Linked DNA regions of Oryctolagus cuniculus. The protein of the gene in region 1 binds, or shares a complex with, the protein of each later gene. Links are inferred from orthologs where the notes say so. Each region holds a gene or a part of one and is shown in the gene's direction. Other genes may lie near its edges. The genes, in order: DDX5, ARVCF and PA2G4.

Region 1 (9,907 bases):
TTCCCGTCATATCCAGTTAATCTTGACACAGCCCCTAGCTCAGTCCCTGGCCTGTACTAGATTTTTAATACATGTTAAGCTCAGCCGGCGCCGTGGCTCAATAGGCTAATCCTTCACCTTGCGGCGCCGGCACACTGGGTTCTAGTCCCGGTCGGGGCGCCGGATTCTGTCCTGGTTGCCCCTCTTCCAGGCCAGCTCTCTGCTATGGCCAGGGAGTGCAGTGGAGGATGGCCCAGGTGCTTGGGCCCTGCACCCCATGGGAGACCAGGAAAAGCACCTGGATCCTGGCTCCTGCCATCGGATCAGCGCGGTGCGCCGGCTGCAGTGGCGGCCATTGGAGGGTGAACCAACAGCAAAGGAAGACCTTTCTCTCTCTGTTTCTCTCTCTCACTGTCCACTCTGCCTGTCAAAAATTAAAAACAAAAAAAAAACAAAAAAAAAACACATAAACATGTTAAGCTGAAATGTTTAACAGAAATGGGTTGTTCAAAGTATGGAAACCTGACATGTTTAAGGTTGCCTAAGATGGATACGACTGCTATCAGGTGTCGCTGGAACTTAACCACTGGCTGTCCTTTGGGACATAGTGCCTGGCACTCAGGAGTTCACACCAGCACAGTAGAGCAGAAACATGATATTTAAGAGAATCAGCTGCAATGCCCAACAAACCTAAACCATCAATCTGACGCTTTAGGCTACTACCAAAGACAATGCTTGAAAACTCTTTTCTGCCTAAGACAACTAGCCAGAAATCTTGTCTTCAAGCCCTGTTTTCCTGGCTTATGGTACATCAGTACATCCCAAGGGCATACTCAAGACTTCTCAGTTTCCAGGATGGGGAGCACACTCTGCCACCCCAGCAGCCACGACTCCCGGCCAGAACACAGCGCTTCTTGGAGCAGGACACGCTGCCTCAAAGGCACACAGGACTAGAAGCTGTTTTGTAGTCTGCTGGAGAAGGTAAGCAGTTTATAATTTTTTGTGGGCCTGAGTATGATTTGTCAGGGGCAGCTCTGCATGAAAAAGTTCTACACACACAGATGTTTATCCTGGCTATAGCATGTTTACAAAACACAAATACCAGAAATGCCCTACTCGGGTGCTGACGCAATTTCAAACTGCAAAAGAACACGAAGACTACAGGATTATGCCACAAATTTAATTCTCCAAACTGGTTTACTACATTTACTCCCCTAGACATACTCTCAAAAGCCTAAGACAGAATTATTTTCTCTTTGGAATATCAAAATAAGATGTAAATGACCTGTCCTGATGAACATTTATTTTCTTCAACTGTCAAGGAGTAAATCAACAGTATGAACCTTATTTTTGTGACTGTGGTATAGTTTCAAGTTCACCAGATTTCCTCTATTTATTGGTTTGAAATAATTTACTGGACTAATTCTCATCTCACTATCTGCAAATACAAATATTTATAAATAAATCTGGTATACTTAGTTTTAGAATACAGCGTGGTACACTTTATTTGGGGAAACTTTCAAAAATGGTTTGCATCAAGACAATTTTTTTGGATAAATGTGGTCCAAAATTCAAAAAGCAGAAAAGGTATACAGCGAAAATTCCTGTCCTTTTGTCTAACAGCCCAGAAGTTCTCCTGCTGGAGATGATGGGTATTACAATTTCTTGTATATTCTATAGTCTTTGCAACAGCCATCAGTTCCTTTGTATTAAAAGATTAGCATATTCTGCACATTATCACTGTAATCGCACCAAATTTTTCTCATACTATTTACATCAGAGATCATTCCTCTAAAATGAAATGTTGTCCATAAAAAGCATTTTATAATTGCCGAGTACTCCACTATGTGGATCTATTATAATTTAATCAGTCCTTATTAACAGATATCAACTGCTTTAACTTCTAGCTACTGCAAATAAGCAGCACTGATATGTTTTAAAATCAAAACTATAACAAAACACATACCTTAAGTTAGCATCTAGGGTACTTATATTTCATACCCAGATCCATCACAAACTCAATGTTTTCCCCTCCAGGAAACGTTCTCATGTGTGCTTGCCTTAACTATACCATTTGATTCTCTTGGCTCAGTTTTAAGTTTGGCCTATTCCATAAGCTCATTCATTTAATTAATTAAGCAATGTTGAAGGTTTTATCTAACAAATCAATTTACTAAAATGCACAATTATCTGCTTAAGTATATACCAACCTGTTATGTGAGACAAGCTGACCTGCAGGTAATCCAAGGCCAGAGAATCAATCACAGCCTGTACATTGTGGGCATCATCCTCTGGACTCCTGGGAACAGCTATGAGGTCTGTGGGAGGAGTCACATAATTCTGCATTTGTAAGGGTTCAAGTTTTCATTTATCTCTGACTAGGCTTTTGAGTTAGCTCAACTGTTAAAAGTTCTGCCCAAACACAGTGTGTGATAAAGTTAACAGAGTCCAGACATGACAAAGTTGAATCTTTACTGGTTAGTATTTACTGATTTACATCCTAATATTGAATAATTGTTAACTAGAATATGGTTCAATATTTATTACATCAAACATATACATGAGTATACTCTACAAAGGAAGATAAATTGGTTCCTAAATTCAGAGAGATGCTAATATTCTACTAAGGGAGGCAAGACATGAGACAAGACCTTAGCCCAATAGTGTGGACTGCTTCCCATTAGAAAGAGACCACAGCAGTATTCAATGAGAGCTCGTGTACGTACTGTTAAACCGGTCTAGTGGGAATTACTGGCATAAATGACTGGCATACAGTGTGCCAAGATTTACTATCAAGTCAAGTCTTTGGTTTCTCCTCTGGTATTGAGGAACATGAACCCTAAAAGGGGGAAGCTAGCTCAAAGAGCAGTGAGAGGCCACTCCTTTATTCTAGGAAGTGATGAGGGCACTGCCTCATGCTAACAAAGGAAAAAGAAGAGAAGCTACACAACTCCTACAGGAGCTAATGGTTATAAACTATGTAAGGAAACACAGGCAGCAAAGGAATCTATGCATGAGGACTCTGAGATATCCAACAAGTGATACAGCAAAACGTGTGACACCTCTGAAAGAAAAAAGCGAGTCACAGCACACAGACGGTTAGACATCCACAGTTATTAACCGTCTTCTCAGGAAATCAGACTCATAAACACCAACTCTTATCCTTAATACAGGTGAGGGGACCAGACCCAGCAAATTTCCTTTTACTCAACTGCAGACCCTTTGAAGGCACACTTAGTGTAACTTTCACAAGACATTAGATGTGAGTAAACCATGATTAGCAAGAATCACTGAACTGATTGTCAAGGTTGTTGTTATGGGCGCCCATATGCTATTCACTAAGGTAATGAATGTAATCTTTTGATAGAAATGATGTGGACAGAAAAAAGGAAACATATTAAATACCAAAGGATATAACTAAAGGCACTAGAAATTTCTGGCCTGATATACGTACTCATGCTTTTTAGGACCCTTACCTGGTACCTTTTCTCCCAGAATAGATTGATAAAGAGCAATAAAAACATTAGCATCACAATCTTCAAGCTCATGTATCCTTAGATGTATGTGACATTTAAAAAGAAGGTTATTGGCAATGGTTATCCACTCTGTTGGGAAAGAAGGGGAGAAAGATCTGTTTTCAACAGCACTAGAAAAGGCTATACGCACACTTGAAAAACCAACAACCTCCCGCCAAGATACCTGACTGTGCAGAATAGAATAAAAGGAATTTGGTTGTTGAAGAATTTCAAAGATCCTTCCAGGCAGGATTTTTAAACGATGTATTAAATTTCTGGGGATGACTTCCAGAATGCTATCAGTTCAATACAGTCAAAAAGTATGAAGCACATGCAATTTTCACTGTTGCAATCTAAAACCTTAAGCCATTTACCTGTTTCTAAGCCTTTTATAGGTGTTTTTAATTGAAAGTTAAGGAGAGCATCTGTCATAAACAAGACAGCTAGGTAATGAGCATCTGAAGTCACTAGAAACTAATGAGAGCCGCTTCTAATTCCCAGTAGTAATCATCATGTTTTTACCAAATCACCTTGCGCCTGTCGGGATTTCGCCGGCGCCCAAACAGGTGGTGATTAACTCAGCCTGTTAAGAACAGCTTTCCTTTATTCCATCTAATGTACCCGCAGGAACGCACGGGGCAGACATGGAAACACCCCTACACTGCGAACTAGCACGCTACCACGCTCCCCTCCGCCAAATACTGCTGCGATCAGGAAAGCTGCTCGACCAAAAGTCGTTTACCAAGTCTGAATCACTCGTTCCCTGAAATGACTGGCGGTTAATGGGAGAGCATTTTGCTCAGTTCTGGAAACAGAGGGGGGCACTTGGGGTGTGTACCCTCGGCGTACCGCCACGCCCCTCTCTCACAACCGTCCAAGCCATGGCAACTTGTTTGTGTAGACGCTGGAGAAAACGTTGTAGCGTCCCAGACCACGAAATCCATTTCGTGTCTCAAAAAACCGTGGCCGACAAAGCCGGCGACGCCAGAGGGCACCGAAGAGAAGAGAGCAGCCCTGGTCCAACCCTAGCTAGCAAGGGCACAGCGGCTGAAAGTGCTATTCCTCCAAAGGCCGACACAAACGGCCTGCGGGCTCGGCGCCCAGGGCAAGACGACTGCTGCCACAGTCCGTCTCTCCCCGCCCCGACGGCGCGGCTCCGCGGCCGCGAGCGAGCCGGCGGCGGGGCTGACAGACCCTACCCCGGACAACCCCAACGGCGACGGGGCGTCTTGACAGTCACAAGCCTCGCCGGCCCCCGACACCCCGGTGAGACCGGCCCGACGCCTTCGGGCACTTGGGGGGCTTCGGTCCACACACACCGGACCTCCAGGCCGAGACTCACCAGCCCCCGAGTCGGCCATGTCGCGGAGGAAGGGCGGCGCCGCAGTCCGAGGCGCCTCCGACGCGCGGGCGACGGTGTCCGGGAAGGGTCGCACGGCGAGACCCGGAGGTGGGCGGGGCCGGTAGGAACCGAGGCGCCAGGCAGGAGGCTCAGGTCGAAGAGGGAGGGACATTACAACGGCTTCTCGCCGCTGATTGGCCCTCGGAGGACCACTTCCTGTCGCAGCACGCGCCTCGGCGGCGGTTTGCGGACAGCAGCTACCGTTCTCCACGGGCAGGAGACTGCTGAAGGATTCTCGGGTCGGTGGATTCTCGGGCAGTTTAGGTCACCCGGCTGTCCCGGCCGGTCTCCTGGAGGGGGCAGAACTGGACTTCCGGGGAACTACTTTGTTAGGTATTCCTCCGCCGACTCCCGCGGGGGAAAGTAGTGCCGACCCCTCCCCAGACCGGGGGCGGGGCTTGTCACGTGACGAGGCCAGGTTCCGCCTTCCCGTCTTATTTGGTTATGGGTGTGAGGGCTCTGTGGAGACGTAAACATCTCTGAGTGGAGAGAGTGGGCTGGCCTGTCCTGGCCATTTTATGTGCCTGTCGGTCCAGGGAGAAGGCGGGGAGGCTTGCTGGAGGTGTAGAAGGACGAGAAAAAGGTGAAGTCAAGGAAATGCATGCTGAAGCATCCCTGTGGTGGGCGGGCCCGGACACGACTCGGGAGAAAAACGGGCGCCCCGGGAGGGAGCGGCCGCGGGGGCGGCGGGGACCCCAGGGCGGATTCCAGAACGCCGGTGGGCGTTGCGGCCCCCTGCGCGGGGGGCGGGGCGATGAGGTCACAGATCGGCTCCCAGCAGCCTCCGCGGCGGAGGAGGCGGTCCGCACTATAAAACCGGCTGCCGGGACGCGGCCGGCACCTCATTCATTTCCACCGGCCTCTGGTCGTGCAGCTCCGGCTCTCGTCACCGCCGTTCCTCCGCCGCTGCCGCCCCCGCGAGGCTTCGCCGCCGTCGAAGCCTCTTGCAGCGACTCGTCGCACCCGTTTCTCTTAGCTTCGTCCCCCGCCAACCGCAACCATTGACGCCATGTCGGGATACTCGAGCGACCGGGATCGCGGTCGCGATCGAGGGTGAGTCGGGGAGCGGACCCGTCAGGCCCGGAGAGGGGGGATGGGAGGGCGGCGGCGGGCGGCGACGCGGCCTTCGCGGGCTCCTCTCGGGCCTCGGTCGGAGGTTTGCGCCATTTTGGCGTTCGCTTCGAAGTGACCCGAAGAGGCTTGTCGTTTTGGCTGTTCCGAAGCCCGCTTTTTGTCTGGGGGTGGGGAGCGGCCATTTGGCGGCTGTTGGGGGATTTGGCGGAACGCCCTGCGGGGTGAGGAGAGCGCGGCGCTTCGGGGCGGAGCGGGGAGCCGCCGTTAGGTACGGCCTTCGGGGAGGTGTTTTCGGGGCGCCGGGAGTTCTGTGGGAGAGGGGCCGCTCCGAAGCCGTGGGTTCGGTGCGGAGGCAGCGGCCGGCCGGCCGGCGCCCTCGGGATCGGCCATGTGGCTGAGCCGCGAGCACAAAATGCCGGCCTCGGACATGGCGGCGGCGCCTTTGTTACCCCGCCCGGCGGAGGAGCTCAAAATGGCAGCGTCGAGAAAATGTGGCGCAGAGAGAAATGCGAGACAAAGGGGGAAGCGCCGCCCCAGCGGGAACGCCGCCCGGCGACTCCGCCCGGGCCCGGACTCCTCCCCCGGTAGTCACCGGCTCCTCCTTCTCCTTCTCGCGTTATATAATTTTGCTACCTTGATCGGGAGCTCTTCCGCCGGGTTCCCCCACCTCGATTGGTTTCCCGGCGTGCCTTGGAGAAACACCTTCCCTGTGCCGCTCTCCCTGCTGTGGCTGCCTCGTTACCGTTCGTGTTTAACACGGAAGCGCCTCTGCTCGAACACAGTCGTTAGAGTAGCATCGCTGTTTTAGGCACCACCCTTCTCGTATAGGCCGGCTCCCGGCTGCTGCATTCCCTAGCTCGGAGACTGTAGTAGCCGCAGACTTGTCTGTCCTTGTATGCTTGAAATCCTGCAGTTTGGTCAGCCCGTTTCTGAGCTTATCGATCGCGGGCCGTGTACTTGGCCTCGATAGTTGCGGCTGTGGGAAGTGATGCTGTTGACTGCTCTCAGGGATAATTACTGGAGCTGATGAGTGCTAAAATCTGTCCAACGCCAAATACAGACGTGAAGAAATGTAACATTCTTAATTTCAGGTTTGGTGCGCCTCGATTTGGAGGAAGTAGGGCAGGGCCTCTATCTGGAAAGAAATTTGGAAACCCTGGAGAGAAACTAGTTAAAAAGAAGTGGAATCTTGATGAGCTGCCCAAATTTGAGAAGAATTTTTATCAAGAACATCCTGATTTGGCTAGACGCACAGCCGTGAGTAATTTCATGTGGCTTTGATCATCATTCAGTATTACCTGAGTAATACTAAGCTAGGAAATCAAAATCTAACAAGTGTCTTGGCGGACATTTCAATTTGGGGAGTTCTTTTTGGCTTGGGGAGGAGGTGGCTTTGAATTTTCACCTGTAGGTTCAGAGTTTGCTAGCTGTGTTTGCTTAGGGGACTCTGTCAAGAGTTACTAAAGTGGTTATGATTTGTTTTGCAGCAAGAGGTGGAGACATACAGAAGAAGCAAGGAAGTTACAGTTAGAGGTCACAATTGCCCAAAGCCAGTTCTGAATTTCTATGAAGCAAACTTTCCTGGTAAGTGCTGGTTTTCAGTCAGCTTACCACCCTTCTCCCCCTGTTGCCTCCTTTCTGTTGGCATTACAAGTGTTTACTAAAATGCTGTAATTACAGCAAACGTCATGGACGTGATTGCAAGGCAGAACTTTACTGAACCCACTGCTATTCAAGCTCAGGGATGGCCAGTTGCTCTAAGTGGATTAGATATGGTTGGAGTAGCTCAGACCGGATCTGGGAAAACATTGTCTGTAAGTTTGGGAGAACTCTGAGTTGCTGGGTGATCCATGCTAGAGGAAATGGAATGGGAATAAAAAAGCCAGAGTATCTTAATAGTGTCTCTGCTGTTTGTCCTCCTGTAGTATTTGCTGCCTGCCATCGTCCACATCAATCATCAGCCATTCTTAGAGAGAGGTGATGGACCTATTGTAAGTATATATTTTTTCAACTAGAAACATAACAGAATACATAGCAAACGATGTAACGATTTATGTAAAGATTAGTATTCTCACTGAACGTAGCTGGGGCTGCTCTGGGTATCTGATGGCACAGTTGGAGAAAGGATCTGCCAGTGCAGCTAACTTAGCAATCTGGGGTCTGTGCTAAAAGCTGTTCCTCTTGCTTTAGTGCTTGGTGCTGGCACCAACTCGGGAACTGGCTCAGCAAGTGCAGCAAGTAGCTGCTGAATACTGTAGAGCTTGTCGCTTGAAGTCTACTTGCATCTATGGTGGTGCTCCCAAGGGACCACAGATCCGCGACTTGGAGAGAGGTAGGAAAGGAAAAGGTGGTTTGTCAACTAACCAGTGCTAAATGTTATGTGTTAACGTTTATGCATTTAATTTGAAGGTGTGGAAATCTGTATTGCAACACCTGGAAGACTGATTGACTTTTTAGAGTGTGGAAAAACCAATCTGAGAAGAACAACTTACCTGGTCCTTGATGAAGCAGATAGAATGCTTGATATGGGCTTTGAACCCCAAATAAGGAAGATTGTGGATCAGATAAGAGTAAGTACCCTTAATGTCACTTTTCACAAGTCTAAATTTACTTTTGGAGTACAGTGTAATCCTTTCTCTGTCTTAGCCTGATAGGCAAACCCTAATGTGGAGTGCTACATGGCCAAAAGAAGTAAGACAGCTTGCTGAAGATTTTCTGAAAGACTACATTCATATAAACATTGGAGCACTGGAATTGAGTGCAAACCACAACATTCTTCAGATAGTGGATGTATGTCATGATGTAGAAAAGGATGAAAAGTAAGTATTATATACATTTAATGGCTTTGTGTGGTTGAGTAGCTTTCATGGGTTATGTCAAAATTGACTTTCAATTGATGTAATCTGAATAGGTTCATGTAAAATTAAGTCCGCCAATCCATCTTGAGATTTCATGTCCTTCTGTAATTGGTTGTTCCATTTATGGCATTCTTACAGGAAGATGAAAGTCATGTGTCTTGTGGTTTACTTAAGGACCCAGGGTAGGATTGTCAGATGGTCCTACAGGTGTTTCCTCTTTGACTTGGAGCCATGCAAAATTGAACTTAATGTTTCACTGAATGTAAATGTGCAGCCCCAACTGTGGACTTGTTTTAAGACTCAGGCGTTTGTTTTGTCTAGACTTATTCGTCTAATGGAAGAGATCATGAGTGAGAAGGAAAATAAAACCATTGTTTTTGTTGAAACCAAAAGAAGATGTGATGAGCTTACCAGAAAAATGAGGAGAGATGGGTATGTGGGATTCTCCATGTATAGTCCTTTAGGAAAGGGCAAACAAACTTGAGCCAAGAGGATGGTTGTGGGTTTCATAGATAAGGCTAATCTGATAGTTTGGGTAAAGCTGTCAGTGAAATTGAGGCTTGGCAAAAATGGTTAAGCATGAGAATCTGATTTGAAGCATGAGCCTACTAGGATAAATCTTCTATTTTAGGTGGCCTGCCATGGGTATCCATGGTGACAAGAGTCAACAGGAGCGTGACTGGGTTCTAAATGGTAAGTATTTCAAAAGGAGAAAATTTTTTTTCTTAAGATAGGCTTCAGAGTAATGATCGTATATTTGCCTTCCTTTGTAGAATTCAAACATGGAAAAGCTCCTATTCTGATTGCTACAGATGTGGCCTCCAGAGGGCTAGGTTAGTACAAACTCGCATTCATGGCTTGGTTTCCCAGAAGATCTCCATATAGTTTTTCTAAAGAAAGTTTATTGCTTTCTTTAACCTCTGCATTTTTTCTAAGTTTTTTTCACATAAAGGTGCAGTCTTTGTGGCAAGGCCTAGGCATGACAATCGGAGGACTCGAGGGGGATGGAGGACTAGTGATCGGCTGGCTGCTTCCAGTCGATTAGAGAGGTGAAAAACTGAAAGTGTGCCAGTAATCTT
Region 2 (9,251 bases), on another chromosome or scaffold:
GTTGGGTATTTCTGTCCTGTGAAGGCGTCTGGCTGGCCTTCGGTGACAGGAGCCTGGGCGCGGCCATGGGAGTCAGTGGGTGGAGCCAAAGCTGCCTCCTAGCTGCTGCACTCAAGGTCCTGGGGGGTGTAGGACAGGAGGTGCCCCCCATATCAGGAGGGGTCCCCACCCCAAGGGTGCAGGTAGTGTTGGGAAAGGGTCCCACAGGTCCCACCTGCCACCTCTGAGGACCCAAAGGAGCCTATGCCAGCCAGGCCTTGTGGCTCAGAGCTGCCCAAGACCTGGGCACTCCTGCTGGCTCACTCTAGGCACCTGGTGGGGAGCTGGCCCTGCCACGGGCTGGTTGCGGGAGGGCAGGGCCAGCCCCTTCAGTGGTCAGAGGCCAGGAGCATGCTACAGAGAAAGCCTCTGGGGTCGGTGGGCTCTGGGGGCTGGGAACCCCCTAATATCCTGGCCAGCATGAGCCTGCTGGGGGCAGGGTGTACCTGCACTCCAGGTTGCGTGACTTGGGAGGTGGTCCTGCCCCATAACACTGCCCACACCCAACCCCCACCCCGTCCTAGGAGCAGAGCCCAGGCAGCCAGGCCTCGCTGGCCACGATGCCAGAGGCGCCTGAGGTGCTGGAGGAGACGGTGACGGTGGAGGAAGACCCGGGCACGCCCACCTCCCACGTGTCCATTGTGACTGCTGAAGACGGTACAACCCGGCGCACGGAGACCAAGGTGGAGCTGGGAGGGCGGGCGACCGGAGTGGGGCAGGGGGAGAAACTTAGGCCACTCCAGCCTCACCCGGTCACCCGCCCGTCCACCAGGTCACCAAGACGGTCAAGACCGTGACCACGCGGACAGTACGACAAGTGCCCGTGGGCCCGGATGGGCTGCCCCTGCTAGATGGCGGCCCCCCGCTTGGCCCTTTTGCCGACAGCCCCCTGGACCGGCACTTCCTTCTGCGGGGCGGTGGCCCGGCGGCCACGCTGTCCCGGGCCTACCTCAGCAGCGGGGGCGGCTTCCCTGATGGTCCCGAGCCCCGGGATGGCCCCAACTACGGCAGCCTGTCGCGAGGGCTGGGGGTGCGGCCCCCACGTGCCGGCCCCCTCGGTCCCGGCCCTGGCGATGGCTGCTTTACCCTGCCTGGCCGCCGCGAGGCATTCCCATCCGGCCCCGAGCCCGGGCCCCACGGGGGCCGCTCCCTGCCCGAGCGCTTCCAGGCAGAGCCCTACGGCTTAGAGGATGACACCCGCAGCCTGGCCAACGATGACGAGGGCGGCCCCGAGCTGGAGCCCGACTACGGCACAGCCACACGGAGGAGGCCCGAGTGTGGGCGGGGCCTGCGTACCAGGTGAGCACCCTGTCCCCCCATGGCCACTGCCTCCAGGAAGTCACCCATCCATGCTCCCTGCACGGGCAGCCAAGCCGCTAGGGCTGAGTCCATCGTGCACACTTGGATGTGGGCTGAAGGGGACAGTGGCAGTTAGGCTGCCCAGCACCTGCTGGCTCCTCTCCAGGCAGATGGCGGCAAGGACCCGAGCACTGGAGGCCCAGCCAGCTCCTCTCCCTGGGCCTGTTTCCTTCCCCCATGCACAGCACTAACTGGAACCCAGAGCCCACCCCAGGCTTTCTTGCCCTATCTGGTCTCAGTGTGTGCACCTGCAGAATGGGAACACCACAGCCTAGGGGCAGGTGCTGCTGTGTGACCCGGAGCGAGTCGCCTGACCCCTCCCAGCCTCAGGCCACAACCCACCCTGCCACTGAGAGCCAGGGACAGTTCCCTCCCCAAGGGGCCAGCCGGTGGCCTCAGTGCCCCCCACAGATGATCCTACTGAGATGGCCTCGTATGGGGAGGGTCACTCACTCCCCCCACACCCTGACACCAGCCAGAGGTGGGCCTCCTGCAGAGCTGGGGGAATGTGACAGAGAGAAGGGGTCGGGAGACGCTGTGGGAGTGCATGAGTGTCCTGTTCTGGGATTGATTGATTTCTTTGAAAGGCAGAATTACATAGAGAGGAGGGCAGAGAGGGAGAGAGATTGGTCTTCCATCTGCTGGCCTACCCCCGAAGTGGCCACAATGGCTGGAGCTGGGCCCACAGGAAGCCAGGGGCCAGGAGCTTCCCCCAGGTCTCCCACTGGGCCATTCTCTGCTGCCTTCCCAGGCCATAGCAGAGAGCTGGATCCGAAGTAGAGCAGCCGGGCCTGGAACTGGCACCCATGTGGGATGCCGGCACTGCAGGCAGCTTTACCTGCTAGGCCACAGCGCTGACTCCCCTCTGGATGGGTTTTTGCTGGGCTGCGGGCGTGTTTCTCAGCACCAACTCCCTACTACTGGGAGCTGGGGTGTGGGGGAGGGGTTTTGCCGAGGCCCCGCCCCTCACGATGCTCACACGCCCCCTCGCCGGCGCAGGGCCTGCGAGGACCTGGCCGATGACGGAGGTGAGCTGCTGGAGGAGCGGCCCCCATTCCCGGCGACGGCGCCCCTGGCCCAGCCTGAGCGGGGCAGCCTGGGCAGCCTGGACCGGGCGGTGCGGCGCTCGCCCTCGGTGGACAGCGCCCGCAAGGAGCCGCGCTGGCGGGACCCAGAGCTGCCCGAGGTGCTGGCCATGCTGCGGCACCCCGTGGACCCCGTGAAAGCCAACGCGGCCGCCTACCTGCAGCACCTGTGCTTCGAGAACGAGGGCGTCAAGCGGCGCGTGCGGCAGCTGCGGGGGCTGCCGCTGCTCGTGGCGCTGCTGGACCACCCCCGCGCCGAGGTGCGGCGCCGGGCCTGCGGGGCCCTGCGCAACCTCTCCTATGGCCGCGACACGGACAACAAGGCCGCCATCCGGGACTGCGGCGGGGTGCCTGCCCTGGTGCGGCTGCTGCGGGCCGCCCGGGACAGCGAGGTCCGGGAGCTTGTCACCGGTGAGTGGCGCCCGGCTGCACCTGCGGGAGAGAGGAGAGCCAGAGGCTCGGGCTGGGGAGGCGTGGGGCTGCTTGGGGTCTGCGGCTGGGGAGAGCTGCCCAGTGGCCAGAGCCCCGGCTGCTGGGACAGCTTTGTGCTGGAGCAGGCATCAGGTGTAGATGCGAGGACAGATCCCCAGTCTCCCTACCCACAGTCGGGCTAGCGCTGGGCCCCTCAGGCAGGGGCTGGGGACAGCTGGGGGGTCATGTGACCACCTCTGTGTGGCTCCAGGGTCTCAAGACCCTTAGTTCCCCTGCCCAGGGGGCAGGGAAGGGATGGGAGGAGTCACCTGCTGGCCCCTCGGCTGCACTGGAAGTCCCTCACCCCCACTGGAAGCCCCTGCTGGGGACAGCCCTCCCTGCCTCGCCCCCGCCCAACCTCTCACGGTTCTTGTCACTCCTTGCCTTCCCATGCATGGACATGAGGAGGGCAGGCAGGTCCTGAGCGGGGGTCCCAGGAAAGGCAGCGGGTGGGCAGGGCCTGCGGTCAACACGGTGGGTGTCGGTGGCACCCACAGGCACCCTCTGGAACCTGTCGTCCTACGAGCCCCTGAAAATGGTCATCATTGACCACGGCCTGCAGACACTCACACACGAGGTCATCGTGCCCCACTCGGGCTGGGAGCGGGAGCCCAACGAGGACTCCAAACCCCGGGACGCCGAGTGGACGACCGTCTTCAAGAATACCTCGGGCTGCTTGAGGTGGGGGCAGGGCCGGCTGGGGCTGCCCCTCTCCCTCACCTCCCCCTGCAGCACAGCTGGGCTCCCGGTCAGGGAGGTGGGATCTAGGCACCAGAGCCTGCACCCCCGCAGCCTGCAGGCAGCCACATCCTGGTGGTCCCCAGAGCGTGGATGACAGTCAGCCACCCAGTAGCCAGGGGCTGCAGAGTCACACCACGAAGTCCAACCTGCAGAGGAAGATGGATGAGCCCCCCGGCCTGAGTCCAGGGCTGGGGCTGGCAGGGTTCTCCCTGGAGGAGGCCGGGGCTCACCGGGCCTGTTCTCGGCCCTCCAGGAATGTGAGCTCGGACGGCGCCGAGGCCCGGCGGAGGCTCCGGGAGTGTGAAGGGCTGGTGGACGCACTCCTGCACGCTCTGCAGTCGGCAGTGGGCAGGAAGGACACAGACAACAAGGTGGGTAGGGCAGGACGGGCACAGGCCGATAGCCTCCCGCCCCCAATCGTCAGAGAACCAGACCGTTCAGGAGCTGGGAGGCCCGGCGTCCTGGGGCTGTCCAGGGCGTGCCTGACTGGGGCACCCCAAACACGGCCCCACGGAAGTGGTCATGGGCCCCCCCCCCCCGTGCTTTCTCGCCCAGCTGACTCTGTGCGCAGGTGCCCAGGACCCTGAACAGCCCCGAGGCCCCGCCCTCCCACTCACCTCTGCCCCCCCCCCCCACAGTCGGTGGAGAACTGTGTGTGCATCATGCGGAATCTGTCATACCACGTGCACAAGGAGGTGCCTGGGGCCGACAGATACCAGGAGGCCGAGCCTGGGCCCCCGGGCGGTGCTGCCGGCTTCCAGCGGCGGAGGCGGGACGATGCCAGCTGCTTCGGCGGCAAGAAGGCCAAAGGTGGGTGGGCAAGTCGGGGGTCCTGCTCTTGGCACCGGCGCTCCCGGCTGAAGGCCCTCCGTGCCCAGGGCAGGCAGCTAGGAGGCTGGAGGACGGCGGGATAGATGGGCGGGAGCCCGGAGGGTCCCGCTCTGCCCGGGCTCCACCCCCGGAGGAGACTGACCCCAGGCTTGCCCCTGCCAGTCCCTGGGGGCACTCAGCCCTCCCTCCTCCCCCACGCCCAGCCATCCATTAGGGTGAGGTTCTGCAGTGGGAACACAGGGGGCCGCTGGGAGGGTGCCCCGCTCAGGCTCGTCTCCTCTTTCCTGTGCTTCCTGCCGGCGCCCAGAGGACTGGTTCCATCAAGGTGAGTGAACGCCTGTTTGTCCGGCAGTCCCGCCGTGGGCAAGACGCCCCGTGGCGCCCACTGTCGTTTCCTTGACAACCGCAGGGCAGCGGGTGCAGTGGGCTCCCGGGAAGCCGCGCCAATCCCCAGGGCCCTGCCCCGCCCCTCCCGCTCCAGGCCCATCACCCTGGCAGCCATCTCCATGACAACTGCCCAGGACACACAAAGGCAGGAATGCGGACCCCCTCCACCCAGGGGGCTGGGAGGCCGAGGGGGCCGCTCCGGCAACCTCAGACTCAGCTCCCTTAGGCAGGGCTGGGGCAGAGCCGGGTGGGGCAGGCAGGGCCCCTGGTCCTTGTCATGGATCGGGCTGTGTGTGTGTGTGTGTGTGTGTGTGTGTGTCCAGCTCCCACAAGCTGAGGCGGCTTACCTAAGCTCACTGCCTTGAGAGGCGGAAGCTCCCCCTTCGGAGATGGGGAGGGTGGCTGGAGGCAGAGAGGTGTGCACGCGGCTGCTGCTGTGAGGGGTTCCGCCCCCAAGCTGGGGTGGTTTTCCTGGGACAGGACCCTCGGCCCACCAAGTCCTGAGCCTGGCAAGCTTCCGTTTCTCTGTCTGTACCTACGGCCATCCAGCCTGGGCTGCTGGTTCCTTCACACACCCAGCAGCTCCCAGCCCTTGATGCTGGGGTGGGGCCGGGGTGTCCCCAGACCACCTGCCTGTGGGCCTCAGAACGACTTCAAGTGGTGCCAGGGCCTGGGTGTGGGGTGCTCTTTGGGCTCTGGGCAGGGGGCCCTCGTGGCATGTTTCTGTTCCCCCATGGGGGGTCCACCTCACCTCCCACCCTTGTGTTCTAGGGAAGAAGGATGGTGAGATGGACCAGAACTTCGACACGCTGGACCTGCCCAAGAGAACCGAGGCCGCCAAAGGTGAGCTGGCCAGTGTCGCTGGAGGGGTCCCAGCTCAGGGGGCCTGGGGGGCCTGGGGGGCCTTGGGAATCAGGTGGGAAATGGGGACTGCAAGTGTATGGTTCCCTGGGGGGTGATCTGGTCCCTGGGCTGCTGTTCGGAGTCAGGGTCAATGCCGTAGGTCACTGGATTCAGGATGCGTGGGGGAGATAAGACAAAGAGGCCATGAGAGGCGGGGCTGGAGGGGGTGTTTCCTGGGCACTGGGAGCCAGGAGGGCGTGGTCAGATCAGGTACAGAGACCGACCAGGGGCGGGGCGGTGCATCCCTGCGTCCCCCGTATCCGTTGGGTTCCTCCTGCTCTGTGCAGTCCAATGGGAACCCATCTGCCTGAACGAGTGGACCCAGGCCACCTTGTGAAGTGGAAGAGCCCAGAGGCCACCCCCCCAGTGGGTGGAAGTGGCCAAGCCTTCCAGCCGTGGGGGGGCGGGGAGGGGGGTGGTCTGTGGGGATGCATTACAGTCAGAGGGAGGAGGTTGCTTTCCGAGCCAGGCAAATATCCATGTGTGGACAGGAAGGCTTGGAAGGCCGCCCTGGCCCCTCAGCTCTGGAGCACTGTGTGGGGCACCACCTTGGTGCCAGCCTGGGGCCTCACTTGTGGGGGAACCTGGGGCAGCCCTGGTTGCACCGCAACATTGCCACGGGGAATGGGTGGGCCCTGTTGCTGGGAGCGTGACCCTGTGCTCAGCTTCAATTACATACCGGCGGAGGTGGGGCTCGGTTGCTCCGCGCCAATTACACACTGGCAGAGGCGGGCCCTGTTGCTAGGGGCGTGGCCGGACTGCTCAGCTTCAGTCACATTCCCGGCAGAGGCGGGCCCTGTTGCTAGGGCTGAGTCCCTGGTTGCAGTTTTCAGTTCCACAGGAAGGAAAGCCTTCCTTCTGTTGTCAGGGAAGGCGGGTCCTGTTGCTAGGGGCGCGGCCATAGTTACCGAGCCCTGCCTCCTGGGTTGAGGAAGACATGACCTCACCAGAACCCATTGTCCCCTGAGCCTCAGTTTGCCCCTCTGTGCAGTGGGAGCGCTTCCTCCTTGGGGATGATTCCCCTGATAATAAACATTCTCGGTTCCACGCCCCTCCGCGGCCCTGGTGAGGGAGGAGACTGGGTGACAGTGGGCGGTGGGTGCCCCGTGCTGTGCCCAGGCTTTGAGCTGCTGTACCAGCCGGAGGTGGTGCGTCTCTACCTCTCCCTGCTCACGGAGAGCCGGAACTTCAACACCCTGGAGGCTGCCGCCGGGGCCCTGCAGAACCTCAGCGCTGGCAACTGGATGGTGAGAGGGCAGGCGGGACTCGGGGGCCCTGGGCCGTGGGGAGGCGGGGAGAGCGCACCAGCGCACTAATCGGCCCCCCACCCCCGGACCGCCGCAGTGGGCCACGTACATCCGCGCCACGGTGCGCAAGGAGCGTGGGCTGCCGGTGCTGGTAGAGCTGCTGCAGTCTGAGACCGACAAGGTGGTGCGCGCTGTGGCCATCGCGCTGCGCAACCTCTCGCTGGACCGGCGCAACAAGGACCTCATAGGTGAGGAACCCGCAGGCCTCCTCGGGGTCGGACTCGGAGCCCTGGTCCCGGTCCTGTCGCCTGGGGGTCCCACAGCGGTGCGGCTGTGGTGTCCTGGGGCTCCGTGCCCCTCATGTGCAGGGGCGGGGGGCAGAGGAGCGGCCTAACACCTGTCCCTGCCCCTCTCAGGGAGCTACGCCATGGTGGAGCTGGTGCGGAACGTGCGCAACGCGCAGGCACCCACGCGCCCGGGGGCCCGGCTGGAGGAGGACACGGTGGTGGCCGTGCTCAACACCATCCACGAGATCGTGTCGGACAGCCTGGACAACGCGCGCTCGCTCCTGCAGGCCCGCGGCGTGCCCGCGCTCGTGGCCCTCTGCGCCTCCAGGTGGGTGGGGCGGGGCCGCGGGGCGGGGCCCGAGCGCGCGGGGGGTGTGGCCACTGACCCCGCCCCTCCCCCCCCCCCCGCCCGCGCGCCACAGCCAGTCCGTGCGCGAAGCGAAGGCGGCGTCACACGTGCTGCAGACCGTGTGGAGCTACAAGGAGCTGCGCGGCGCCCTGCAGAGGGACGGCTGGACCAAGGCGCGCTTCCAGGTGGGGAGTGCCCTGGCCAGCCCCTCTCTTGACTCTGCCGGTTCGGCCCCCCACCCAAAGCGGGCAGTGCGGCCAGCTCACCCCATGCCTGTGCCCCGTGCCTCTGCAGTCGGCGGCCACGGCCAGCAAGGTGCCTAAGGGATCCCAGAGCCCCGGTGGCTTCGATGACAGCACGCTGCCGCTGGTGGACAAGAGCCTGGGTGCGTGTGGGAGCCCGTCCCTGACCTGCACTGACACTGACAAGGTGGCGAGGGGCTGGAGGAGAGACCCGGGCTTCCTCCGGACAGGATGGGGGATGGCGGACCCTTTGCCGGCTCTCTGCTTCCTGGGTGCTTCTTGTCACGTGGTGCCTGCACAGGTGCCAGTGGCCGCGGGTTGGGGTGGGGGTGGGTGCTGGTGGCCAGAGGCCAGGCTGGGGCGCAGAGATGGTTGGTAGCAGAGGGTGCCCAGGCTGTCCAGGCCAGCCCTGCCGCGGGCTAGGCTGCCCCGGCCCCACCTGCAGCCAGCTGCCTGCTTATGCCTTGCAGACAGCGAGAAGCAGGGCAGCCGGGACGTGATCCCCATGGACACTCTCGGCCCAGGTGAGTGCAGGTGCAGTGTGGCTGGGGGGGGGGGGGTGCTGGAAGGCCTCCCAGGAGGTGCTGGCTGGATGAGAGAGCTTTGGGACAGAGGGCCAGGGAAGGCTCAGTTCCCAGCCAGGGCCCAGACCTGTAGCCAAGGGGCTGCACCTGCTGGGTTTAGGGGCTGCACCTGCTGGGTTTAGGGGCTGCTGGGAGCGCAGACACCAGCACAGGGTGACCCCCCCTTCAGGGTGGGCAGATGCCGGCCTTCTGAGCTGAGAGGGAGCTGTGCTAGAGTGTCCCTCCTGAAGCTGCTCCTCCTGTCCCCACCCCAGACGGCTACTCCACTGTGGACCGCCGGGAGCGCAGGGCGCGGGGCAGTGACTCCGCAGGGGAGGCCTCTGAGAAGGAACCGTTGAAAGTGAGTGGCTGTGGGCCGCCCCGTCCCGTAGGGGTTGCCCACAGAGCACCTGGGCAGCACTAAGTCTGGGCCCCGCCCCCTCCCCACCCCCACCCCGGGCCACAGCTTGGGCGGGCAGGCAGCCCCCTCAGGTCGGAATCAGCGTGCAGACACCATTGGGAGCCCATCGCTGCTGGGAGTGGGGGGCGGCAGGGCCAGAGGCCGCCTGCCCGTCTGTACCCTTGCCTGCATGTGCACAAGTGCGGGGCGAGGGCCCACCACCCGCCCCCTGCCAGTTCCCGCAGGCCCGCCAGCCAGCTCATCTCCTGCCCTTGGCATCACTCCCTCCCCCGCCCCGTGCTGCCTTGGCCAGCCCACCCCGCAGCCCCCACTAACCGGCTCTGTTC
Region 3 (9,986 bases), on another chromosome or scaffold:
GAGCAGCCAGGACTTGAACTGGCACCATAAGGGATGCTGGCACTGCAGGCCAGGGCTTTAACCTGCTGTGTCACAGCACCGGCCCCCAACCCAATCTTCTAAATAAAGCCTTTCCTGTCTCTAAATCTGTTATCCTCTCTTTACCTTCCTTCGTAGGAGTCTGCAGTTTGTGGGGGCAGTGAACGATGCCCTCGTCCGGTCTCTCTGCACCCAGTGCCACGGGGCCGCCTGACCTCCGAATCGTCAGAAGGTCACGTGACAGGCTCTGAGGCTGAGCTCCCGGAGAAGGTGTCGGTGTGCAGGAGCCGCAGCCGCAGCCGCAGCCCACGGCCAAGGGGAGATAGTGCCTACCATTCCCAGCGCCATAGCCTGCTTACGCCCGTCACCCCTCTTGCCCCGCCAGGATTGGAAGAAGAGGATGTCAACGGTTATGTCATGCCAGATACACACCTCAAAGGTGCCTGACTCCTCCTGCAGCTTTCTCTGAATTCTCGTCTTCTCTGATCCTATCCCTTCCTATTAATTTTTTCTAACTTTCCCTTCCCTTCCCCTACCTACTGCCCATTACCATGAAGTTCTCCACCTACTTATCCTCTCTGCTCTTCTCCTAGGTACTCCTTCTTCCCGAGAAGGTACTCTTTCCTCAGTGGGTCTCAGCTCTGTCCTGGGTACTGAAGAGGAAGATGAAGATGAGGAGTATGAATACATGAACCGTCGGAGAAGGCCCAGCCCATCTCATCCCCCTCGGCCCGGCTCCCTTGAGGAGCTGGGCTATGAGTACATGGACGTGGGGTCAGACCTCAGTGCCTCCCTGGGCAGCACGCAGAGTTGTCCTCTCAACCCTGTGCCCGTCATATCCACTGCTGGCACGACACCAGATGAGGACTATGAGTATATGAATCGGCGACGCGGTGCAGGTGGCCCGGGAGGGGATTACACAGCCATGGGGGCCTGCCCAGCAGCTGAGCAAGGGTATGAAGAGATGCGAGCTTTCCAGGGGCCTGGTCCGCATGCCCCTAGTGTCCGCTACGCCCGCCTCAAAACCCTCCGCAGTTTAGAAGCCACCGACTCCGCCTTTGACAACCCTGATTACTGGCATAGCAGGCTTTTCCCCAAGGCTAACGCCCAGAGAACATAGCCTCGACTCCTTGAGACACTCGGGGAGCGTCTGATGGCAGCTAGTGCCTCTAGAGGGTACCCCTCATCTCCCTACTCCCCCCTCCACAGGTGTCAGCCCCATTTCTCTAGTCCTAGACAATTCCATTCAACCTTTGGAGGCTTTGAATCCCTTTGACACAAACTTCTTATGGTTTGTAGCCAACTGTGCACTTTGTTCTCCTTCCCAGCCCCAGGAAGGAGAAGGTTTTCCTACTTTGTGTGCTTTCCCAGGACTCCCTGGAGACATGAAGGATTACTCCCCACATCCCTGTAGCTCAGGCCCCACCTGTTAGTATGAGGCCCGGATATGTGCCTGTTTCAGAGTGTCCTAAGAACACAGGGGCAGATCTGGCAGAAGAAAGCAAAAACTGGGTACTTTTAACCCCCTGCAAAGGTTGCAGAGCTTAAAGTTCTGTAAAGAGCAGTTAGGAACAGACTATTACTCTCGGCTCTTCACTGCGGGCCAGGCAGCAAGCGAAACTTTACCTACATTATCTCCCTTAATCCTTTATACTCCTTACAATTGTGTGACAGAGAGATGACCCTGTTTTACACCTAAGTAGTCCCCCCTCCCCCATCCTCAGGGGATAATGTTCCAAGACACCCAGTGAAACCACAGATAGCACCAAATGCTGTACTTAATGCCCTTCCTCCTGAACTCCATGCACTACGGCCATAACTTGTGCATTCCGTGGTGCAACAAGAAAAGTAGCACAGAATTCCATGGATAAAGGAATCGTCTGCACTGGAGATCCGGCGACTTCTGCGTACACTTTTGGCTCCTTTACTTACGAAGACGTTCACCTTTTCACTTAACGGAAGCACTTCTCTTTGGTCGATGTGAATTGCCTGCATCACCATTAAACAAGTAAGGGTTCCTAGAACACAGCCACTTTTGGATACCACAACAGGAGATCTGATAAGCGAGAGTGCTACCGAGGGACTAAGGGCAGTGAGGGACGACTACACTGGACAGAGGAAGAGCAGGATGGTGCTAAGATTTCATCATGCTACTCAGACTTATCAATTGTTGATTTTCCATGTAATTGTTTTGGACTGCAGTTAACCACAGGTAACAAGCTGTGGAAAGACAGCAGATCAGGGGGACTGAGCCTTAAAGACTGGGTAAATTAAGCAACAGGTCCAGGTTTCAAAATCTTCCCAACAGAATGCACGTGTTCTTACTGTAAGCTGTCATGGAAAACAGATAAGTCAGAGAGCCCTTGTAAGGTGCATTTTACTTGTGTGTGTGTGTGTTTTTTTTTTCTTTGCACTGAATCAAGTTTAACCCTCCTCTACACCCAGACTTCTCATCTCAGGAAGTGGTGGGGGTGAGGGGGTAGGAAGGAAAAATAACTGGATGTTTTTGCATAAACCGTAACTCTCGTGATCACTCCTAAGGGCAGACTCACAAAGGTCCCCAGGCCCACCTGTAGGAGCTGTTCTCCTCCAGTGGTGAGACGCTTCCAGGTGGGAGAGACAGGACCCTGCTTTAGACCTCCATCCCCTTGGGAGGGGAACTGGGGCAAATGTCTGTTATATCATTGAAGTGTTTTGTTGTTTTTATACATGTCTGAATAAAAATGCCAAAGTTTTTTTCAGCTTTCTGTTTGTCAAATGAAGGAAACTGATTAAGAGGCCACCTCTTTGAGTGCAACAGTGGACAGCCACCTTTCTGTCTCCCGACAGCCCTGTTCGTCCCATTCAGCTTTCTCCAGGCATAGGGCAGAGTCCTTTTCATTCAGGGGTTGTACTAGAAATTACAGGGCAAGTAGGATTAAAAAAAAAAAAAATCCCACAAATGCTTGGAGAAGTTAGAAAATGCCCTATGGATGCGAAAATTGAAAGCTTTAAATTGCTTCAAAACTCATTCTCTTAAGAGAGCCACCAACTCTCTGCGAGCACTTCCTTAGGTGGGGGCCCCATTCAAGGCCACGGCTGGAAGAACAGTGCCTCTAGGTCGGGAGGGCGTGAGTGGATGATCTCCCGCTGCCTAGTTAGACCCAGTTCCCAACACGCTTCCTCGGTCTTCCACGTCCGCTCTGCTCCTTCCCTCAGCACTGGGAGCCGATTGGACCGGCCGGGCCGGTCCCGCCAGCCGACCCAGGGATCCCCAGCCGGCGTACCCAGCACCCCCGCCCTAGGTGCACACACAGCACACCGACCTCGGCTCCACCCTGCTCCACGCCGCCCCGCCGCAGCCAAACCCTTTTCCCCTTCGAAGCCCCGCCCCTAATCCCTCAGCCCGCCCCCCTTCTCTATTACGAGCTCGGGCTCAGCACTCCTGGTGGATGGACTTTTTCCCGGAGAGACCACGCTTCCCCTCCAGCTAGCCAACAGCTCCGCCTTCCCGCCGGAGCCTGACCCTTCCCAGCGTGCCCGGCGATTCCGGCGTGCGAGGCCCTTGGAGGGCAAGGCTCCAGGGCCTGGCTTAGGGGCGCGAGAGGCAGGCTGGGAATTGTAGTTCAAGCGACCACGAGGACGGCTAGAGGGTGGCGGCGGAAAGGACTCGTCGTCCCGGCGTACCCTGCGCCTCAGCCCGCGCGCTCGCAGCTTCTCGCTCTCGCTCGCCCGCCCGCCCGCTGCCTTGCTTGCTCGCGCTTTCGCTCGCGCTCTCCTCGCGGATCGTGGGGGCTCTGACCACAGCCTGCGGCTGGGGAGGGCGACAGAGGCGGCGGCTCAGGGGAAACGAGGCTGCAGTGGTGGTGGTGGGAAGATGTCGGGCGAGGACGAGCAGCAGGAGCAAACTATCGCCGAGGACCTGGTCGTGACCAAGTATAAGATGGGGGGCGACATCGCCAACCGTGAGTGCGGCCTCGGGGGGTCCGGAATCGAGTCTGGGAGGGAGAGGTGCTGGGCAGACCGCTGAGGGGCTGGCGCGGTAGGGTGCTGCGGAGTGAGCTCCGGTGGGGTCCGTATCGGTCCGCTGGAGTCGGCGTGGTGGGAAGACCCAGTGTCGCGCCCGGGACCGGAGTGGCCAGGCCTGGACTGGAGTCTGTGGGTGCGGGCCGGCGACCGGGGAGAGGGCAGAGAGAGGGACCCGGGCAGACTTCGAGCCTAGGCCGTTGGTAAAGGAGGCAAGGCGCGTTTTCTTCGGTGCCCGCACTCCTCCGTCCGGGTCTCGGCGGTCGCCTCGAAGAGGAAGCGCCCAGCTGTTGGCGACAGAGGCGCCCTTCTGTTTTGTTGCGGCTCCTGAGCGTCAGGAGCAGGGCTGGCACGTGTTGCCGGGTCCCTCCTGCCGCCGCCGCGGTCCCTGACACCAGCCTCCCCACCACGTGCTTTGCTGGAGTCTTCCTCCTTTACTTCGTCGCTCGCCCTGGCGAGGGCCCCCTTTCACCCTGGGCCGGCTCAGGGGGCCGTTGGAGGGCACCCCTGGACCTTCTAACGCAACTCTTGGGGACTTCGTCTGTGTGTTCTCGAAGTTGTTGGTTACTACCACCTTTCCAATCTGTGCAGAAAGCCTCAGCCCTCGGATTGGTTTCCGGGGACTTGCTGGAGTTCGGAGGAGGGTTTTGAGGTTGCCCTTGGCCCCAGCTAGGCGGGCTGGTGAGCGGTGTGGCCGCGGGACCGGCTTCAGGATTGTCACCGGTCATCATTCGAGCCCTGCTCCGACTTCTCAGCAGTTGTTTGCCACTCTAGGCAGATGTCTCACTTTCTATTTTCTCTCTTTCCAGTTCACCTTTCCATTTTAAAACCCACTGAGAGAGTTGGAAGCTACTCGTCTGAGCTTCTATATGGTCTTAATAGTAAAGATAGGAAGAGGTTTTTAGGGTGCCTTTGGCTCTGAAGCCGAAGACCTGGGTTGTTCTAACTTCCAGTTAATCCAAAACTGAGACCTCAAAAATCAAACCTGAAATTCTGGATGGATCACGGAGAGGGTGTGAACAGAACAATGCTTTCTCAAAAGTGGCTCAGTGGACGTGTAGTGTAGTGCCTTGACCTGGGTGTACTTTAGTTTTCGATACTAGTGATTTGAACTAAAAGAAATGTTTCTTCTTCTTTCTTGCAGTTTATAATTTGAGTCATTTGTGATCTCAGATATCAGTTTTGAAATCTCAGGGTCACTAATCCCTTTAGATCTACGGCAGGCTGAAAGCCACGAGCCCCCTGAAGCCCAGAGACTTCTGAATAGCCCCCTTAGTTCCTACATATGTTTATGAGGGAATAAATTTAAATAAATTGCGATTACCAACACCTAATTAGTGATGTGTGAGAAGACAGGAAGGTAACAATTTCCCAATGCATCAGCTTCGAGTCAGCAATTCTGTGTCCCTGACGCCCATAAATGTCTTGTAGTCTACTTTGCATGTATGTGGGGCACCTCGGCATGAACCCTCTGCAGCTCATAACTGTGTTCTGCCAGGCCCAAGGTGCCTTTGGACAGTCAAGTTTGTCTAAGAAGATGTTGTGTGTAGCCAGTTGTCACATAATGTAAGGGAGACAAGGAGGGGTTGGCCTTTTTTATTTTAGGAAAGGAGGGTAGAAATTAGAGGTTATAGGTAGATACATTCCAAGAAGCAAGACTCAGGTTTCCTCTCTCAGCCTCAGGGGGCTAGCGCTGGGAATTAGAAGTTCCGAGTCCAGCTTACATACCAGGGTGGTCAGCAGACAGTAAATACGTGCCAGGCTGATGTGGTGGGATTCTGTCCCCAGGGGTACTTCGGTCTTTGGTGGAAGCATCCAGCTCAGGTGTGTCCGTGCTGAGCCTGTGTGAGAAGGGTGATGCCATGATCATGGAAGAGACAGGGAAGATCTTCAAAAAAGAAAAGGAGATGAAAAAAGGTAAAAAAAAAAAAAAAAAAAAAAACAACAACAACAACAAAACACCTCTCACTAGTTTTCCAAGCTTGGCCCTTATCTGGTTCTTTTTTTTTTTTCCCATTATAATGATGCAAACCCCACCCAGCCCTGGGTGGGATATTTGGAGATCTGAAATGGCAAGTGGGATACAAGCAGTGCCCTACCCAATCCAACGTGGTTAAAGTCCCTGAGAAAGTTTTTCCTTTTTCTGAAGGGCAGCAAGAGAGAGAGCAAGGCAGTAAGGCTAACGATTCTGTCTTTACAGGTATTGCCTTTCCTACCAGCATTTCAGTAAATAACTGTGTGTGTCACTTCTCGCCTTTGAAGAGTGACCAGGACTATATTCTCAAGGAAGGTGACTTGGTAAAAATGTAAGGCTAAGCCATTTTAGAGCGTTTCTCTTTCCCAAGTACTTGCACTATGCCATTCCTAATGTGGTACTCTGCCCTTGCCTTTCAGTGACCTTGGGGTCCATGTGGATGGCTTTATCGCGAATGTGGCTCACACTTTCGTGGTCGGTGTAGCTCAGGTAGGTGGCCTACTTTTGAACTCTGTTCCAGCTGGGGTTCGTTTGCAGGGGGCGAGAGTATGTGTGCACTGCAGTTGCCTCAGCCCTATCCCCTACCACCATGTTTGGGGAGAGTCTACAGAATTCTCTAGAGAAACACTTTTTCTTTAATGTTCATTGGCTTGGGTGCACAAATATTACCCACATGGTGGGCTGAGTTAGCCAGCTTCTCTGAATGGGTTTCCTTATCCACAGGGGACCCAAGTGACAGGGCGGAAAGCAGATGTCATTAAGGCAGCTCACCTTTGTGCTGAGGCTGCCCTGCGCCTGGTCAAACCTGGAAATCAGGTAAGCTGTTTTATCCAGCCCTAAAGAGAGAACCCGAGATGCGTTAGGTACCTGTAGCCACTCTGGACAGAACTGCCAACTTCCCCCACACCCCCTATTTAAAAACTAGCCTTTTAAAATAAGCTGTGTCTTAGGATGGGAATTCTTGTAGAGAAGAGGCAGGAACTAAGCGCTTGACACTCAACAGCAGACAGATCTGTGCTAGGTGCACAGAGTGATGGTTTCTTCCTTAACTGCACGTAGAGATCCTTCTTTTCTTTGTTCATGGTATTTACCTTATTCATTTGAAAGGCACACAAACACTGTTCACTGGTTACTCCCCACGTGCCTGCAATAGCTGGGGCTGGGCCAGGCCAAAATTGGAAGCTGGGAATTCAGTCTTGGGTGATAAGGACCCTGAGACCTGAGCCAGCACCTGCTGCCTTGCCTCCCAGGGTGCACATTAGTAGGAAGGGAGTCAGGACTTGAATCCAAGCTCTCTGAAATGAGATGCGGGTGTCTCATGCAGCATCTTAACTATTAAACCAAATGCTTGCCCCTCTTTTCATGTTTTGTATGTGCATCTGTCCCCAAAATAACTTGAGCTAAGTACCTTACAAACTCAGTTTTAAAGCCTTTATAAAACAAAAGTCAGAAAAAGGATAGGGTGCTGGTGCTGTGGTATAGTGGGTTAAGCCTCTGCCTACAGCACCAGCGTCCCATATCTGCTCCATTTGAGACCTGGCTGCTCCACTTCCAATCCAGCTCCCTGCTAATGTGCCTAGGAAAGCAGTGGAAGATGGCCCAAGTCCTGGGCCCCTGCACCCATGTGGGAGACCTGGAAGAAGCTCCTGGCTCCTGGCTTCAGATTGGCCTGGCTCTAGCCATCTCAGCCATTTGGGGAGTGAACCAGCAGATAGAAGCTTGCCGTCTCTGCCTCTTTCTCCCTGCTCTGTAACATTGCCTTTCAAGTAAAAAAAAAAAAAAAATGGGGCCGGTGTCGCGGCTCACTTGGCTAATCCTCCACCTTGTGGTGCCGGCACACTGGGTTCTAGTCCTGGTCGGGGCGCCGGATTCTGTCCCGGTTGCCCCTCTTCCAGGCCAGCTCTCTGCTGTGGCCAGGGAATGCAGTGGAGGATGTCCCAAGTGCTTGGGCCTTGCACCCCATGGGAGACCAGGATAAGTACCTGGCTCCTGCCTTTGGCTCAGCGCGGTGCGCCAGCCGCGGCGGCCATTGGAGGGTGAACCAACTGCAAAGGAAGACCTTTCTTTCTGTCTCTCTCTCTCACTGTCCACTCTGCCTGTCCAAAAAAAAAAAAAATCAAGTAAAAAAAAAGAATAAATCTTAAAAAAAAAAAAGATAGGAATGAGATGACGATACCAGTGGGCTGGTCCAGAGTTAGCGCTGACTCTGCATGACAATTAGGAAGCCCAGAAGTCCTAAGGTTCTCATAGACTAACAGAATTATACACTTTAGATCGTCAGTGGACACAATTCTCTAAATTTAAATTTCCAGAGGCCCATTCAGTATTTAAAGCATCTTTTTTCTCCTTTTCTGTGTTCTTCCATGCTTCACACTTTTAATTTAGACTTTATTCCTATTACCACTTTTTTAATGCAAAAATATCCATATACATTTATTCATAGGTCTTAATACCACAAAACATAAATGAAAACTGAGAACATTGCTTATTCAGCCAGGAGCTTTGAAATTATTTAATTTGAAATATAAATTGGAGTTTCTCCAGAAAATATATCTGCATGGAATTCACTTTATCATTGATGCTTTAGGAGTACATTTTACAGACAGCAGTAATCAGGCTTCTTGCGTGTTTAAATGGAAATGAACTTGATAAGCATAAAGAAATAACTTTTCTTTTATGTAGCAGCAAAAAGAGTCTCCAAGAAAGAGACTGTTTTCATTTCCTTCCAACTTGGATTCACCATAAACACAATCCACAAATGATAATGGAACTTCAGCAACAGTATAATTCAGCTGTCTTGCCCAAACAGTCATCTCCATCTGGAAGATATGGCCTTTAGAAACACATTTTTCTATTAATTTTTGTAGAACTTCTTTTCATTATAATCTGAAACTTCCTGTTAGATAAGACAGATGCTCCTGGTCTCAGTAAAATCTGAGTAATAAAGTTGCCCCCATGGCTGATCATTTTTCTTTTCAAATATACCTCTCTTTCCTTTGTAGTGAATTCCAGACACAATATCAGAATTTCCTTCCTTTCGCTTCCTGATGAATTCAGGAATAAATTTTGGATAGTGTGAAAGATCAGCATCCATTATGATGGTGTCATTTCCTATCGCATGTTCCATTCCATGAATGTATGCAGTTCCTAGTCCCAACTTCTCTTGAGACCTCAGAAGAATTTTGTCTGGCCCATAGATCTTCTCCAGCAGTTCAGCCACATCTCTCGTTCCATCTGGGCTCCCATCATCTATGATTGTAATTTCTTAGTTCATTCCACTCTTGGAGAAGCAGCCACACAATGAGTGGCGAGTTCTCATGCTCATCGTAGGTGGCAAGAGTACAGAATACTTGCTCTGCTCTTGCCAAGATCTGGGGAGCATCCGACTCCCTTCCACAGGCCACGGTGGAACCCCTGTCACCACTTAATTGCATTATTTTTATTTAATCCTCTTAGTTTCTTTACAGTGATACCTATTCCATAAAGTTGTTACACAGCCTTTTGGACAGGGCCTCAGGCATCCTAAACACCTGAGTGCTCTGTTACCTCACATGTTTAGTTTTATTATGATTACTGTCCATCTTACAGGAAAGTAGTTGCTTAGTGGCTAGCATGTAGCTATGAAATCAGTCTGGGTCCATACCATATTGCCAACTCTTACTATTTTAGAAGTTAATTCAAATTTTCTCATCTGTAAAATGGGAAAAATAAAATTGTGCCTTCTTTCAGGATTCAAATAATTGAGATGATCCATATAAAGTGCTTCTCACAGGACCTGGCACATAAATATTCAATAAATATTAGCTATGATTAATTACTCATTTGACTTAGAGTTAGTAGCTTAGATGAGGATCAGATTGTACCACAAAGGAAAATTAAGGGTGTGCTCTCTCCCCTCAACAGGTGAAACACCAGGTATAAAGGAGTAAACACTGACTTTACATTAGAAACCTAGACTTCATATTTTTCCACTTAATACTTTTTAAAA

The links.
Region 2: DDX5 (region 1) and ARVCF share a complex: the UniProt entries of both Homo sapiens proteins name them as parts of the ribonucleoprotein complex. The link is inferred for Oryctolagus cuniculus from reciprocal best matches to the Homo sapiens genes DDX5 and ARVCF.
Region 3: DDX5 (region 1) and PA2G4 share a complex: the UniProt entries of both Homo sapiens proteins name them as parts of the ribonucleoprotein complex. The link is inferred for Oryctolagus cuniculus from reciprocal best matches to the Homo sapiens genes DDX5 and PA2G4.

The regions. Positions count from the first base shown.
Region 1 is NC_091448.1:14,222,104-14,232,010, forward strand, and holds the start of DDX5 (probable ATP-dependent RNA helicase DDX5), read left to right. Parts: upstream 1-5,077; 5' UTR 5,078-5,479; intron 5,480-5,770; 5' UTR 5,771-5,905; coding exon 5,906-5,949; intron 5,950-7,061; coding exon 7,062-7,227; intron 7,228-7,457; coding exon 7,458-7,554; intron 7,555-7,650; coding exon 7,651-7,784; intron 7,785-7,895; coding exon 7,896-7,961; intron 7,962-8,160; coding exon 8,161-8,302; intron 8,303-8,379; coding exon 8,380-8,540; intron 8,541-8,616; coding exon 8,617-8,789; intron 8,790-9,149; coding exon 9,150-9,260; intron 9,261-9,459; coding exon 9,460-9,521; intron 9,522-9,601; coding exon 9,602-9,661; intron 9,662-9,907. Other genes in the region: CEP95 (centrosomal protein of 95 kDa), read right to left, coding at 2,190-2,297, 3,456-3,584, 4,837-5,008. UniProt on the Homo sapiens protein: Involved in the alternative regulation of pre-mRNA splicing; its RNA helicase activity is necessary for increasing tau exon 10 inclusion and occurs in a RBM4-dependent manner. Binds to the tau pre-mRNA in the stem-loop region downstream of exon 10.
Region 2 is NC_091452.1:27,664,372-27,673,622, reverse strand, and holds part of ARVCF (splicing regulator ARVCF), read left to right. Parts: intron 1-563; coding exon 564-722; intron 723-811; coding exon 812-1,338; intron 1,339-2,397; coding exon 2,398-2,894; intron 2,895-3,451; coding exon 3,452-3,635; intron 3,636-3,948; coding exon 3,949-4,066; intron 4,067-4,333; coding exon 4,334-4,505; intron 4,506-4,833; coding exon 4,834-4,851; intron 4,852-5,684; coding exon 5,685-5,756; intron 5,757-6,935; coding exon 6,936-7,063; intron 7,064-7,160; coding exon 7,161-7,311; intron 7,312-7,479; coding exon 7,480-7,678; intron 7,679-7,772; coding exon 7,773-7,884; intron 7,885-7,993; coding exon 7,994-8,084; intron 8,085-8,411; coding exon 8,412-8,465; intron 8,466-8,779; coding exon 8,780-8,865; intron 8,866-9,251. UniProt on the Homo sapiens protein: Contributes to the regulation of alternative splicing of pre-mRNAs.
Region 3 is NC_091442.1:58,901,130-58,911,115, forward strand, and holds the start of PA2G4 (proliferation-associated protein 2G4), read left to right. Parts: upstream 1-3,443; 5' UTR 3,444-3,874; coding exon 3,875-3,962; intron 3,963-5,811; coding exon 5,812-5,940; intron 5,941-6,223; coding exon 6,224-6,329; intron 6,330-6,417; coding exon 6,418-6,487; intron 6,488-6,721; coding exon 6,722-6,814; intron 6,815-8,610; exon of another isoform or gene 8,611-9,380; intron 9,381-9,986. Other genes in the region: ERBB3 (receptor tyrosine-protein kinase erbB-3), read left to right, coding at 157-457, 612-1,138. UniProt on the Homo sapiens protein: May play a role in a ERBB3-regulated signal transduction pathway. Seems be involved in growth regulation. Acts a corepressor of the androgen receptor (AR) and is regulated by the ERBB3 ligand neuregulin-1/heregulin (HRG).